3 linked regions of the Mus musculus genome follow. The protein of the gene in region 1 interacts with the protein of each later gene in a pairwise test. Links are inferred from orthologs where the notes say so. Each region holds a gene or a part of one and is shown on either strand. Other genes may lie near its edges.

What was found. The genes of interacting proteins can lie anywhere in the genome.
Region 2: the proteins of Tle5 (region 1) and Smarcb1 interact in binary tests that used the Homo sapiens proteins (3 or more experiments, as listed by UniProt). The link is inferred for Mus musculus from reciprocal best matches to the Homo sapiens genes TLE5 and SMARCB1.
Region 3: the proteins of Tle5 (region 1) and Nek6 interact in binary tests that used the Homo sapiens proteins (3 or more experiments, as listed by UniProt). The two-hybrid records come from large-scale screens. The link is inferred for Mus musculus from reciprocal best matches to the Homo sapiens genes TLE5 and NEK6.

What each region holds. Positions count from the first base shown.
Region 1 is NC_000076.6:81,558,252-81,562,245, reverse strand, and holds the start of Tle5 (TLE family member 5), read right to left. Parts: upstream 2,803-3,994; 5' UTR 2,605-2,802; coding exon 2,578-2,604; intron 1,028-2,577; coding exon 930-1,027; intron 1-929. UniProt on the Homo sapiens protein: Transcriptional corepressor. Acts as a dominant repressor towards other family members. Inhibits NF-kappa-B-regulated gene expression. May be required for the initiation and maintenance of the differentiated state.
Region 2 is NC_000076.6:75,918,800-75,922,894, reverse strand, and holds the start of Smarcb1 (SWI/SNF-related matrix-associated actin-dependent regulator of chromatin subfamily B member 1), read left to right. Parts: upstream 1-1,280; 5' UTR 1,281-1,499; coding exon 1,500-1,592; intron 1,593-4,095.
Region 3 is NC_000068.7:38,510,210-38,514,511, forward strand, and holds the start of Nek6 (serine/threonine-protein kinase Nek6), read left to right. Parts: upstream 1-1,487; 5' UTR 1,488-1,584; intron 1,585-1,666; exon of another isoform or gene 1,667-1,770; intron 1,771-4,302. UniProt on the Homo sapiens protein: Protein kinase which plays an important role in mitotic cell cycle progression. Required for chromosome segregation at metaphase-anaphase transition, robust mitotic spindle formation and cytokinesis.

The sequences.
Region 1 (3,994 bases):
TTTAAATAGAAAACTCCACGAACACTCAGATTTACTTTTTTTTCTTAGAGAAATCTAAGGGTCTTTTAAAGGTTTTGTCATTGGCTGTGAGATGGCTCAGCGGTTAAGAGCACTGACTGCTCTTCCTCAGGTCCTGAGTTCAAATCCCAGCAACCACATGATGGCTCACAACTATCTACAATGGGATCCGATGCCCTCTTCTGGAGTGTCTGAGGACAGCTACAGTGTAGCTACTTACATATAAAAAAATAAAAAATAAAGGCATTATCATCATTATTATTAGTTTGTTTTCTGAGACAGAGGTTTGCTCTGTACCTCAGGCTAGCCCAGAACGACTCCATTCACCTGCCTGTGAGAGCTGGAAGGTTTTGCCTGTATCCCCAAGCCCACTCAAACCCAGCCTAGGTTAGATGGGGACCCGTGCTCAGCTTTAGCTTTTCCTGCGTCTGTGCTGTACACCCCGGAAGCTGCTGACACCCTGGGCTTCGGGGTGATCAGTTTCACACATGAGGAACCCATTAGAAATGAGAAAAGTATTTGTGGTGGGAGTGACCAGGCTGGAGGGTCTGTGGGACCCTACTCCAAAATTGGACAGAAGAAGGTAGGGCTGTGTGACCCTGAGCCGATTACTCACCCTCTCTGGGCACCCACTCTAGCCTGTGTTAAACATAGGGACTGGGCCTCTAGAACCATGAACGCTGTATGCCTTACTTTCTTCTTCCACACCATGGGGCTGATTGTTTTTGGACACATGGCCTCATGTAGCCCAGGCTGGCCAACTTGCTAAGTAGCTGAGGATGACCTTGAACTGCTGACCCTCTTGGCCCCACCTCCTGAGCCCTGAGATGACAGAGGCACCCCCCACCCGGCCTTCCTTCAAGCCACAGACAACTCTACAGACACATGGAGGTGCCCTGGTCCGGGCTCACCTGTGATACTGCGCTTGCAGCAGCTGGAACTCATCTTTGATGCGGTCACAGGAGTCGGAGGTGGTGAACTTGAGCTGCTGAGGGAGGTGGGAGGAGCCCTGCGGGGGCAGGAGGGTGAGCGGCGTCCTGCCCCGCCCATGCCCCACTTCCTGGGCTGCCAGGAAGGGGCTGTGAGGCCCCTAGGCAGTGGGGACACTTTTACACACTGGTCATTTGGGAGGGGCGGGCACCCATGGGGCGGGGTGCACCTCTGTCCTCCAGATGCTCCCAGAGGAATTCCCCAGAAAGCCCCTCTAAGTCAATCAGGGTGGCACAGGCCTCCCTTCAAAGCCGGCATGGAAGAGGCACCTAACTTACCACCCTACATTTCCTGGGAGTACCCCCATCACACCTGTTTCCTCACGGGTGTGCTCTTCAGGAAGGGACCCCCCCAAAGCTGCCCAGGCCCCAGCCAAAGCCACAGAGAAATCATGGCCTGGGAGTTAGGGAGAGCTGGAAGCTGGGGGGCTGGGGAGCGAGGGGGGTGGGATATGTACAGGGCCGGCATCTGAGGGCACTGGGTCAGGAGTTAGGGTGTAAGATCTCGGATCTGGGGAGCAAGGCTAGGGGCAGGGTGTGGGGAGCAAGGCCACTGGGAGCTGGTGTGGGAGACGACAGATGGGCTTGGACATGAGAGGGACGGAGCCTAGTGCTGGGGGGGCGGGGGGTGGGAAGACTGCGGGGTATCCGGCTCCGGACAAGGGAGCACTGGACATTATACGGGCACAGGGTCTCCCCAACCCTAGTGCTGAGGGTGCAGGATGGGGGCTGGGAGGAGGAAGGCCGCTGGGGTGCGGGGCCTGCAGCTGGAGGAGGGACGCGGAGCCAGGCTGGGGGTGGCGCTGGGCCCGGATGGTGACGCCAGGCCCGACAGGGCTGGAGAGAGAGACAGGGGGTGCGGGAACTGTATTGGGGGGTAGAGGGCACCAGACTTGGGGCCAGGGCAGATCTGAGGTGGAAAGAAGTGCAGGGCCGAGGTGATGGTGGGTGCAGGGCCTTGGACTTGGTGGCAGGCCAGTCTGAAGCTCTTAGAGAGCTGGGCCTGGGGGGGGGGGGGTGCACCGAGGTGGGGATGCAAGATCTAGGGCTGGAGGACATGCGCGTCTGGGGTGAGGGGATGATGGGCTTGTGACTGGGGTGCTGCAGCTCTGGGCCTGAGCCCCAGGTCAGGAAGACAGGCCGAATGCGGCTGCAGTGGGGTGCGGGCTGATCCGGAGCCCGGGGGTGGGGGGTGGGGGTGGAAGAAGACCTTGGAGTCGGGTTGGGCGAGGTGTGGGGGAGGCGGTGAGGGGACTCAGGGCAGGGATCAAAGTTCAGGGATCCGGGCTGAAGGATGCAGTGCTGGACTGGTGGGGTGCGTAGGGTCTGGGTTGTGGGGTGCAAGGACCTTGGGGAAGAGCCCAGGGCTGGGGGGACAGAACAGGCCTGTGGGAGCTGGGGAAGCGTAGGGAGCCCCTGGGACAGGCCCTGGGCGGGGAGAGAGACGGGATCCGACCTAGAAGGGGTGCAGTGAGATGAGCTGGGGTGCAGGGTGAGCGCCGGAGGTGCAGTGAGCTGAGCTGGGGGTGCAGGGAGAGCTCTGGGGTGCAGTGCGCGGGGTTCCCCTTACCGAGTGCCGGCTTTGCGGAAACATCATGTCAGTCGCGGGGGGCGCGGGCTGCGCCCCGGCTCGGGCGGCTCGGGGGGCGCCGGGCGGCCGCGCTTTGTCCCCGATCGACAGCTCCGGGGCCCCGCGTCCCGCCTCCTGCGCCGCCCGCCGCCCGCCCGCGCCGCCCGCGCTATTGTGTAATGGCGACGCGGTGCCGCCCGGGCTCCCGCTCCACCTGCCGCGCCCGGCACTGCGCAGGCCCGGACGCCCCACCCGTGACCTTGGCCCCGCGCGCCCCGCCCCCGCCACGGCCCGGAACCCCAGCTGGAGGCCTGCCTCAGTGCCCCCCGCCCCCAGTCCCAAGGCCACAGACTCGCAGCCTGGACACCCAGGCTTCACGGTGGATTTATGGAGTGCCTACAGTGTGCTATGTCCTCTTTGGAGTCGGGAGGGTTGGCACGGCTGGGGGCCACACTGGGCAGTAGAGTGACACCTGTCCCACAGAGGTAGGATGGGGGCCCAGTCCTGTAATCTAATGACTGGGGTGCAGAGGCAAGAGGATCAAGAGTTCTCGGCCAGCCTGGGTTACCAGAGAGCCTGTCTTAAAACAACAAAAAGTAAGACATGGTTTGTTCTGGGGTACAAGACCTATTACCAGTGCTGGGTAGGTTGAGGTAGGTGGAAGCCAGCCTGATCTACACAGTGAATACAGCCTGGGCTATAGGAGCCCTTATCTCAAAACATGAAAAAGTTAAATCGGGCCACAGGAGGTGGTGGTGGCCGACACCTTTAATCCAAGCACTCAGGGCAGAGGCAGGTGGATCTCTGATTTGAGACCAGCCTGGTCTACATAGAGACTTCTGGGACAACCAGGGCTACAAAGAGAGACCTGTCTCATAAATAAAAGGTAAGAGTTCCCCAGGTCCTAGTGTGATCCCAACACTTGGGAAGCTGAGGCAGGAGGATTATCGAAAATTCAGCATCAACCTGTGACCCAGCTTACTGAGGTGAGACCTGTCCAAAAACAAAACAAAACAAAACAAAAACAAATGATTAAAACAAATATGCTGGTGTGGTAACACAAGCCTTTAATCTAAGCCCTTGGGAGGCAGAGGCAGGCAGATCTCTGTAAATTCAAGCCCACCTTGTGAGTTCCAGGGCAGCCAGGGCTCCATGAGCCCTGTCTTAAAAAATAATAAAAAATAAATAGGAGCCGGGCGTGGTGGCACACGCCTTTAATCCCAGCACTCGGGAGGCAGAGGCAGGTGGATCTCTGAGTTCGAGGCCAGCCTGGTCTACAAAGTGAGTTCCAGGACAGCCAGGGCTATACAGAGAAACCCTGTCTCGAAAAACTAAAAAAAATAATAATAATAATAATAATAATAAAATAAATAAAATAGTTCTTTGGGCCAATACTATTTACCCCAACACTTCAGAG
Region 2 (4,095 bases), about 5.6 Mb from region 1:
CACCCCTGGCCCTTAACCCTCTGGTTCCCATGGCTGTGAGATCAGTGGGCAAACTCCTGGTTACCACAGCCTTTCCTAGTTCTTTAACATCTCCTTCATCATGACCCCAGTCACAATTGCAGTCTCATTAGACTGACCCTTATGAAGCTGGCCACTGTTTGTCCTGCTGCTTTCAGAGAAGTGTTTGTATTTTGCACATCCCACCATGCCCCCACCTCCCCTACACTAGGTTGTTAGTCCCTTTGCTCCCATACACAATGTCACTTTTACTTTAATGTTCTGTGGAATACATATTTTATGTATCTAAGGAAAATCTAGAAAGCACAAATGAGAGAAAACGTATTTGTCTTTCTGAGACTGGCCTGATTTGTTTAATATGATATCTTAGTTGCATCCATTTTCCTGAAAACAATGTAATTTCACTTTTGTGGCTGAAAAACAAAAAACACATGTACACACATTTCACACTCTTTTTTGTTTTCTGGGACAGAGTTGCTCAACATATCCCTGACTGTCTTGGAACTGAAGCTAAAAGCTTGCACCACCACACCCAGCCTAGACTACATTTTCTTCATCCATTCCTCTATTGTTGAATAGCTACCTAGGCTAGGCTATAACTTAAGCTCCTGTAATAGTGCTACAATAAACATTAAACATTTTGGAGTCACGGCTCTGTTCAACAGGGGGTGGACTGCTTGGACACGTTCCAGAAGCACTGTCTTCTCTCGGGGCTGTTATGCCCCAAGGCGGGCAGAGGCACAGACCAGGGCTGGGCTTGTGGGCACCAAGCTTGCAGAGGTAAGGAAGGAATGCAAGTGCCTCCTCCCGTTCATCTGGCACATCACCTAGATCTTTGAATAGTACCAACCTCCATCCAGTATTGTCATTCTTCCCATCCCTACTGCCTCGGGAACTGCTGTTGGCCTGGAGTGGATAGCTAGCTATTCCTAACGCACTTTCGGGTGGAAAACCTGAGGCGCTAGCGTGGGGTCGCCATGCCCACCCAGCTTCCCTCGGGCTTCCAGATAGAGCGGTCCTTCTCCTCGCTTAACGTCTCATTTTTTTCCTTCATCCCGGGGCGGAGTGCCAGCTCTGGCTATGCGACTAGGAAAGCTACCGCCTGAGTCAGGGCCTCAGTGGCTATTTCGGTCGCTGAGAGGTTTTCCTCCTTACCCGCCCAGGGAGGAAGCCTAGGAAGCAAAAAAGAACTCGGGTCCCTTTAAGGGCTTGCGGGAACGCGCTCGGCCTTGAGTCGCGCAGGCTGCGGCGCGCACGTTAGCGTCAGCTTCTCCACGCATGCGCACCGAGGGCGGCCTGCTCGTTGCAGAGACGGCCAAGGAGCCCAGTAGTGACACGAGCGCTCGCCCGGTTCGCCCGGCTTGCCCTGCCCGACCTTCACCTCCAGGCCTCCGTTCCTTTCGGTCCGACGCGCCTCGGCCCCGCCCTAGCCCACCGGATTCTTTCCAGCTCGACCCCGGCTGCCGGTTTCCCCCGCCGCCATGATGATGATGGCGTTGAGCAAGACCTTCGGGCAGAAGCCCGTCAAGTTTCAGCTGGAGGACGACGGGGAGTTCTACATGATCGGCTCCGAGGTAGCCCGCGGCGCGTTCTCGGCTTCCCGGGCAGCGGCTGGCCGGCTCGAGTCCCGGGGCGGGCTAGTGCTCCCCGAGAGCGCGCCTCCATTCATCGCGGAGGCGGGCGCGTGCTCGCAGCTGGGGCGTGGCCTGGTGGGCGTGGCCGGTCCCGCCTGGACCGTCCTGGGTTTTCTTTACCCACTTAACGTTGTTCAGACCCTAAGCATCTGTCCTAGCTTAGAGCGTCGAGCCGGTACACTCTAGGCAGATGGGGAAAGGATGTTCGGGAAGCCCCTGGGCGCTTGGAAGTGGAGGTGCAACACTGCCCTTGAACCCTTTGGCAGCTCTCGTGCACCCCACTGCCCCGGTCTCGAAATCTCTACTTGTAAGCCCGAAGCTTAGGAAAGCCTCTTCCCCTTTGTGTTGTTGCTTGCGAGGTGGACTGCAGAGAGCTTTTATGATGTTTAGAAAGTGATTGGACATGTTTGCTTTTGAGTGGATTGAGGCCCTGAGGTCGGAAGCACTAACGTTTTGGAGATCAGTGAACTAATTTTGAGTTTTTATAGGGGATAAATCTGAAGGGTCGCTAACCCAGAACCCAGAGCTAGAAGAGACAGCTTCTGTGCAGTCAGGTGGACAGGGTTCCTTAGGATCGCACCTGTGCGCCAGCCACTACCCTTTTCACAGGGGTCGCATATCAAAGATCCTGCATATTAGGTATTTACATTATGATTCGTAACTGTAGCAAAAATTAGAGTTATGAAGTAGCAACGAAAAAAGTTTATGGTGGAGGGGGTCATTACAACATGAGAAACTGTATTAAAGGGTCACAGCATTAGGAAGGTTGAGAACCACAACCTTAGAAAATCCCTTCAATTAACCCTAGAGACCAGCCAAATCTTTGTGTTTTTTTGTTTTTTTTGTTTTTCTTTTCTTTTTCTTCTTCGAGACAGTTTCTCTGTGTAGCCCTGGCTGTCCTGGAACTCACTCTGTAGACCAGGCTGGCAGAAATGTGCCTGCCTCTGCCTCCTGAGTGCTGGGATTAAAGGCGTGTGCCACCACTGCTCAGCTGAAATTTCTTTCTTTCTACCTTTTTTTTTTTTTTTTTTTTTTTTGGTGCAGATTGTCTATCTCAAACTAACTTCATTCCATCTAAGGGCAACCCCCAACCAGTTTATGTCTCTCCTCCCCTCCTCTCTTTCTTTCTTCCTTCCTTTTCTTTTCTTTTCTTTTCTTTTCGATTTATTTATTTATTTATTTATTTTATGTCTATGAGTACACTGTAGCGGTCTTCAGACACCCCAGAAGAGAGCATCAAATCTCATTACAGGTGGTTGTGAGCCACCACGTGGTTGCTGGGAATTGAACTCGGGACCTTCAGAAAAGCAGTCAGTGCTTTTAACTGGTGAGCCATCTCACCAGCCCCATCCCCCCTTCTTTTTGAGACAAGATCTCATCGTGTAACTGGCTGCCTTGTAGCTCCACTTTGTAGACCTGGCACTTGAACTCACAGAAATCCTCCTGCCTCTGAGTGCCAGGATCAAAGCACTTGGTGTCACTACACCCAGTTTATGTGGCTTATTTTTTTTTCTTTCTTTCTTACTCTTTTTTTGTTTGTTTGTTTATTAAGTGCACTGGGCTGCACCTTTAATCTGAACACTCAGGAGGCAGAAGTAGAGGGTGATTTTGAGTCCAGCCTGGCCTACGTAGTGAGATCTTGTCTTGAAAGGAATAATAATAACAAAAAGATAAAATTCAGATGTGTGAATGTCATCCAGTAGACATGTAACATGTGTAAAGAGGTAAGTGCCCACCCTGGAGAGCTAATGGCATTTCAGACTGCCAGCCGTTACCTCTGGCAGCTATTCAGTGACATACACTCCATTTTATTAGTGTGTCGGTTGAATCAGGTTGTGAGACCAATGTTGTCAGAAACATCCAGACTTAGAGTTTCCGTTTTCACCATCTTCCATTAAACAAAAAACTCAAGCCGCCAAGACTGATCACACTGTCACCTCTGTGCCTCTGTTCCACAGTGGCTGTGCTGGGGACATCTCTCACAGCTCAGAAGGGTCCTTGTTGGCCACTAGGCATTTGCTCAAGTGCAAGGTGTGGTGCGTATGGCAGTTAAGGACTTTAAATAGTCTATGCAGAAGAGTTTCTTCAAAGATGTTTATTTACCTGAACTGACCAGTGAAGGGGTAAATCTGGCCTCAGCCCTAGTTTTGAAAAGAAAATTCTCATGTGGTGGAGAGACTGAAAGACAGCTCCTGGTCAGGTGGGAAGAGCCTCGGGAGGTGTAGTGACAGCTTGCTCTGCCTCCTGACCCTTGCCCTCTTTCTCTGTCTTCCTCAGTTCTCATTTCTCATGCTGGGGAACCTAGAGCCTTGTACACGCTAAGCACATGGTCTTGCACTGAGCGCGCCTTCTTGGCTGGTTTTACTTTTCTTAAGCATCTGAGATGCTTACACTGGAAATCTTGTGTTTTGAGGTCATTGGCACGGCATGGTTTAGGTTTTAG
Region 3 (4,302 bases), on another chromosome or scaffold:
CTCTGGGCTGGTGGCCATGCCTTTCTTACTTAGAACAAGGTTGCCTAGCAATAAGCTGCTGAGACCAGAAATCTGTGTCATCTGCTTCCAGTTCAACCACTCACCACCTGGGGGACTTTGCTCACAGGCCTCATTAAAGCCATCTAAGAAATGGGCACATGGGTGGCATGATGCCACCCTCACAATGGCTGAACATCATGAGGCAGGCAGGGGGAGTAATATAGGTTGTGGGCCTGATTACTGTGGACTCAAGTAGACTAGTTAACTGAATACTCAGCAGGTTGCTATCCCGTGCCCAGACATGTACAGCAGATTAATGGACAGATGGCAGGTGCTTGGGCACACAGACAGTCTAGAACACTCAGAAGCAGCAATACCTGTCCCAGCTACGAGCATCCCTTCCTGAGGGGAAGTGGGAGTCACCTTAATTGCTCCCCAGAGAAGCTTGGACATCCTAGTGGGGTTGTTAAGTATGCATAGATGAAGGCAGTTGTTGTTGTTGTTGTTTTGTTTTTTGTTTTTAACATACAACACTTGGTGTGAATTTGGAAGACATGGGGAGGTTAAAGACAATTTGCTGGAGTTCTTTTGTTCCATTGTGTGGGTCTGGAGGATCAAACTCAGGTCATTCCCCCCACCTCCACCCCCACCCCCACCCCCAGGCTCCTGGGTATTTGGCTGGCCCACTTACTCCTAAAAACCTTCTGCACACTGATGCTTGGCTGGCCTGGAGTTCCCAGGAAGGCAGTATCCCCAGGAGATACTGGCACTTTGAGGGCAGGGACTTGGATTTATCCTAGGTGCCTACTTCTGGAACTGTACTGGGCACTATTTGTACACTGTACTATTGTACACACTGATATATATATATATATATATATATATATATATATACATATATACATATATACATATATACATATATATATATATATATATATATATATATATATATATATATATATATATATATATATATATAATATGAATGACAACATCTCATGTAGCCCAGGCTGGCTTGGAATTTGCTATATAGCCAAGAATGAATGAATTTCAGACATTTTTGCCTCAGCCTTCCTAATTCAGAGATTACAGGTGCCCAATTTCCCTAGTGCTGAGATTAGGAAAGCATGCTATCAACTGAACTTCACCTCCTGCTGCACTCTGTGAATGGGTCAATTTCGGTCCTGCGAGGGCTGTGAGAGGAGCAATGTCAGCTGATGAGGAATCCATGGGTGTGGGGAAGGGTCCACGAATTGGTTACCCAGCGAATCTGCATCTTATAAAGTCTAGAGCCCGCGCAGAGGGGTTCAGTGCCCAGGGTTTGGAGTCTGAGGCTCAGTCTTCCAACCTGAGTTGGACGATCAGGCACCCAGGCTGGGAGCGCGCCCCCGGCGCCCCCTAGCCTGCGTGGCGGCCGCGCGCACGGGCGCAGGGGGCGGCGCGGCCCCGCGGCGGGGAGGGGCGGGCGCGCGGGCGCGCGCAGAAGCGGCGGCTGAACCAAGCGGACTAGCTGCGGCCGCAGCGCCGCCAACTCGCGTGTGACCCGCGCTCCGCCCGCCGCCGAGAGAGCCGCCAGCGCCGGTGAGTGGCCTGGGACCAGCGAGGGGCGCGGGCCAGGGCGTGGGACTGTCACCCGAGGCGTTGTGGGCGCGCGCGCGTGCCCGGGGAGTCGGCGGGGACGCCCGCAGGAGGCCGAGGTGTCCGCGGCGGGCTCCATCCGCCCAGCTGCGCGGGAGTGCGTGCGTGTGCACATCAGGGGCCCGGGCTGTGAGTTTGGGGTGGACCAGTGCGGGTGGACGGGCTCGGCTTCGGTTTATCCGTTTATCGAGTGTTTACCGTGGATGCCAAGGAGTACGTGTGCCCACGTGTCTGAACGTTCCCGAGTGAGTGTGTGCACACGTGCACGGGCAAAAGTGTACAAATTCCATACGAGAGTGTGTTTAGGATCCAGACTGTGCACTCCACACTGCAGGCCGGTGTGTGTGTGATGTGCCGGCTGACCCTGTCCAGAGAGGGTGCTGGGCCGGATTCTGTGAGTCCGCAGATCCCCAGGTTCTGACTTTGGTTGGAAGCCTCTTAGCCCGGCCTTGGCAGAACTCTGCATGGCCACGCAGGCTGAGGAGGGGGCTGCGCTGAACTTGAATTGAGGTTTTCTAAATATGTCTTAGTTCCCTGGCTTTGTTCGTGGCTGTCTCTAGCTAGGCCAGATTTGGACTCTGTTCCCCATACCTAGGGGTTAGGCCCTAGGGAGACCCAGGGCCCCAGATACTTGTCCTCTCTGCCTGCTCCTCTAAGTTAATCATATTTCCCTGATTTAACCGAGCCCCAGAGGGCCATAACAAATGGGTGACAGCATGCTTGGGACACATCCTCTAAGGGCTGTCCGTGAAGTTTTGATTGACAGTTTGTGCATGTGTGTTTGAAAGTTTTAACTGCGTTAGAGCAAACTTTAGAAAGTTTATGTACAAAGTTTCACTCCACTTGCAAAATGCAGGGTGACTTTTTGAGGGGAAAATGTCCTCACAGGAGCCTGGTGTGTGTAAAAGGGCATGTTAAAAACCCTATTGCTAATGGGAGAAGAATTTCATTGAATGGGTGCCTGACTCCCAACAGGAGAAACTTAACCAGTGAACTTTGGACATCGTCGTCCAGAAGACAAAACCTGGAAGGAAACAAAAAAAGACCCATGTTCATTTTTTTTTTCCTCTTTGTCCCGAAAACTGGAGAAGAAAAAATATCCCCACCTTCTGGACGTGTTGAAACTGTTCCCCTCCCCCACCGGGGCCAGGCTCTCCCTGGATCCCCCACCCCCAAATAAAATATGCCTGTGGGGAGCGGAGGAGTGAGTCACTCTCTGGCAGAGGGCCCCACGGCAAACATTTGGGAAGGTTCTTGCTTAACTTCCCAGAAGAAAAGGCCCGGGATTTAAAATGGTCCCTGTGGTTGTGAGCCTCCGAGCCCCGTCTGCTTCAGAGATGACTACAAAAGTCATTTGCTGTCTTTTAAAAAGCCCAAGTCTCAGACTTAAGCATTGTCCAGGATTTAGAGCTGTTTAGGTTTCCAGAAATGGAGATGCTGGCTTTCCCAGGTGGCATATGGTGTGGGAAAGGAAGAGGGTAAGCAGCTGAATCGTTTACAGAGTACCTACTGTGTGCTGAGAGGTTCTTGGGGTCCTTAACTCTCCTGGATTCCACTCTGTTTTTGGGTTTGTGACCAAGGCATCTGACTCATAGAGAAATCAAACCTGTGTCCCAGGCCACCAGGGAAAGGGTAGTAGCCGAAGTCTGAGCCACCTGCCTGCCTTCTAGGCCTTCCTCCTTCATTGGGCCCAGGACTTGACATTTGACTTCCTAAGCTGTACAGCCTGGGCACTGAGGACTTGAACATTCCTGTCCTCATTAGGGCTCACCATAAGTCAGAGGTTATTGTCTCTATTATACGAGGAAACAGACACTAGCAGAGATGAACTGGCTGGCATAGTTTGGGAAGGTAGCACCACGACCCCGGTCCCCCATGATTAAGGATGCACCCTGTGCTGGGCTTGGTGCACAAAGTTTGAAGTTATTTTTCCTTTTCCCCACCAACACTGTTAGATGAGCACTGTTACAGTGTCCATTCTGTAGATGAAAAAACTGGGACACAGAGAGGCTATAGAATAGCGGTAGACCCAGAATTTGAACCCAGACTTGTCTGGACAGAGTCTATAGTCTCCCCATGAACTTGTAAAGTCCAGGTAAGTTGATAGATGGCAAAGTCAGGATTTAAATTCGTAGCTCTGATTCTAGGACGGGCTGGCTACCTTTATTGTGTTTTGTTCTTCTGGCCTGTTGTAAAGCCCAGCGATTTATGACAGGCCATGTTTTGCAGACCAGCCTGTTTCTAGAATTTGGGGCTAGGTCTTCCCAAAGACTGCTGAGCCACCAGAGTGAAGGTACTTTCCAAGTGCCAAGGATGGTCAAACCACTGTCAAAAGTAGAATAATACAATATTTCTCTCCTCTTTTCAGGTTGGACCAAGGAGGGAGGTGAGGGTGGAGGACTTGGTGAATCATTCAAGATTAGATATGGGTTACAACCAGGTGTGGTGGCTCACGCCCATAATTGTGGCTGAGGCAGGAGGATTGCTTTGAGTTCTGGGCCAGCCTGGATTTACATAGCAATTACCACATGTCCCAGGATTACACACCAAGATCCCATTTAAATAAATAAATTGATTAAATAAACACATAGATATAGGTTGGAGACAAAGCTGGACATGGCCCCAGGAAGAGCCCAGCCCCTGACCTTGTAGGGAGATGGA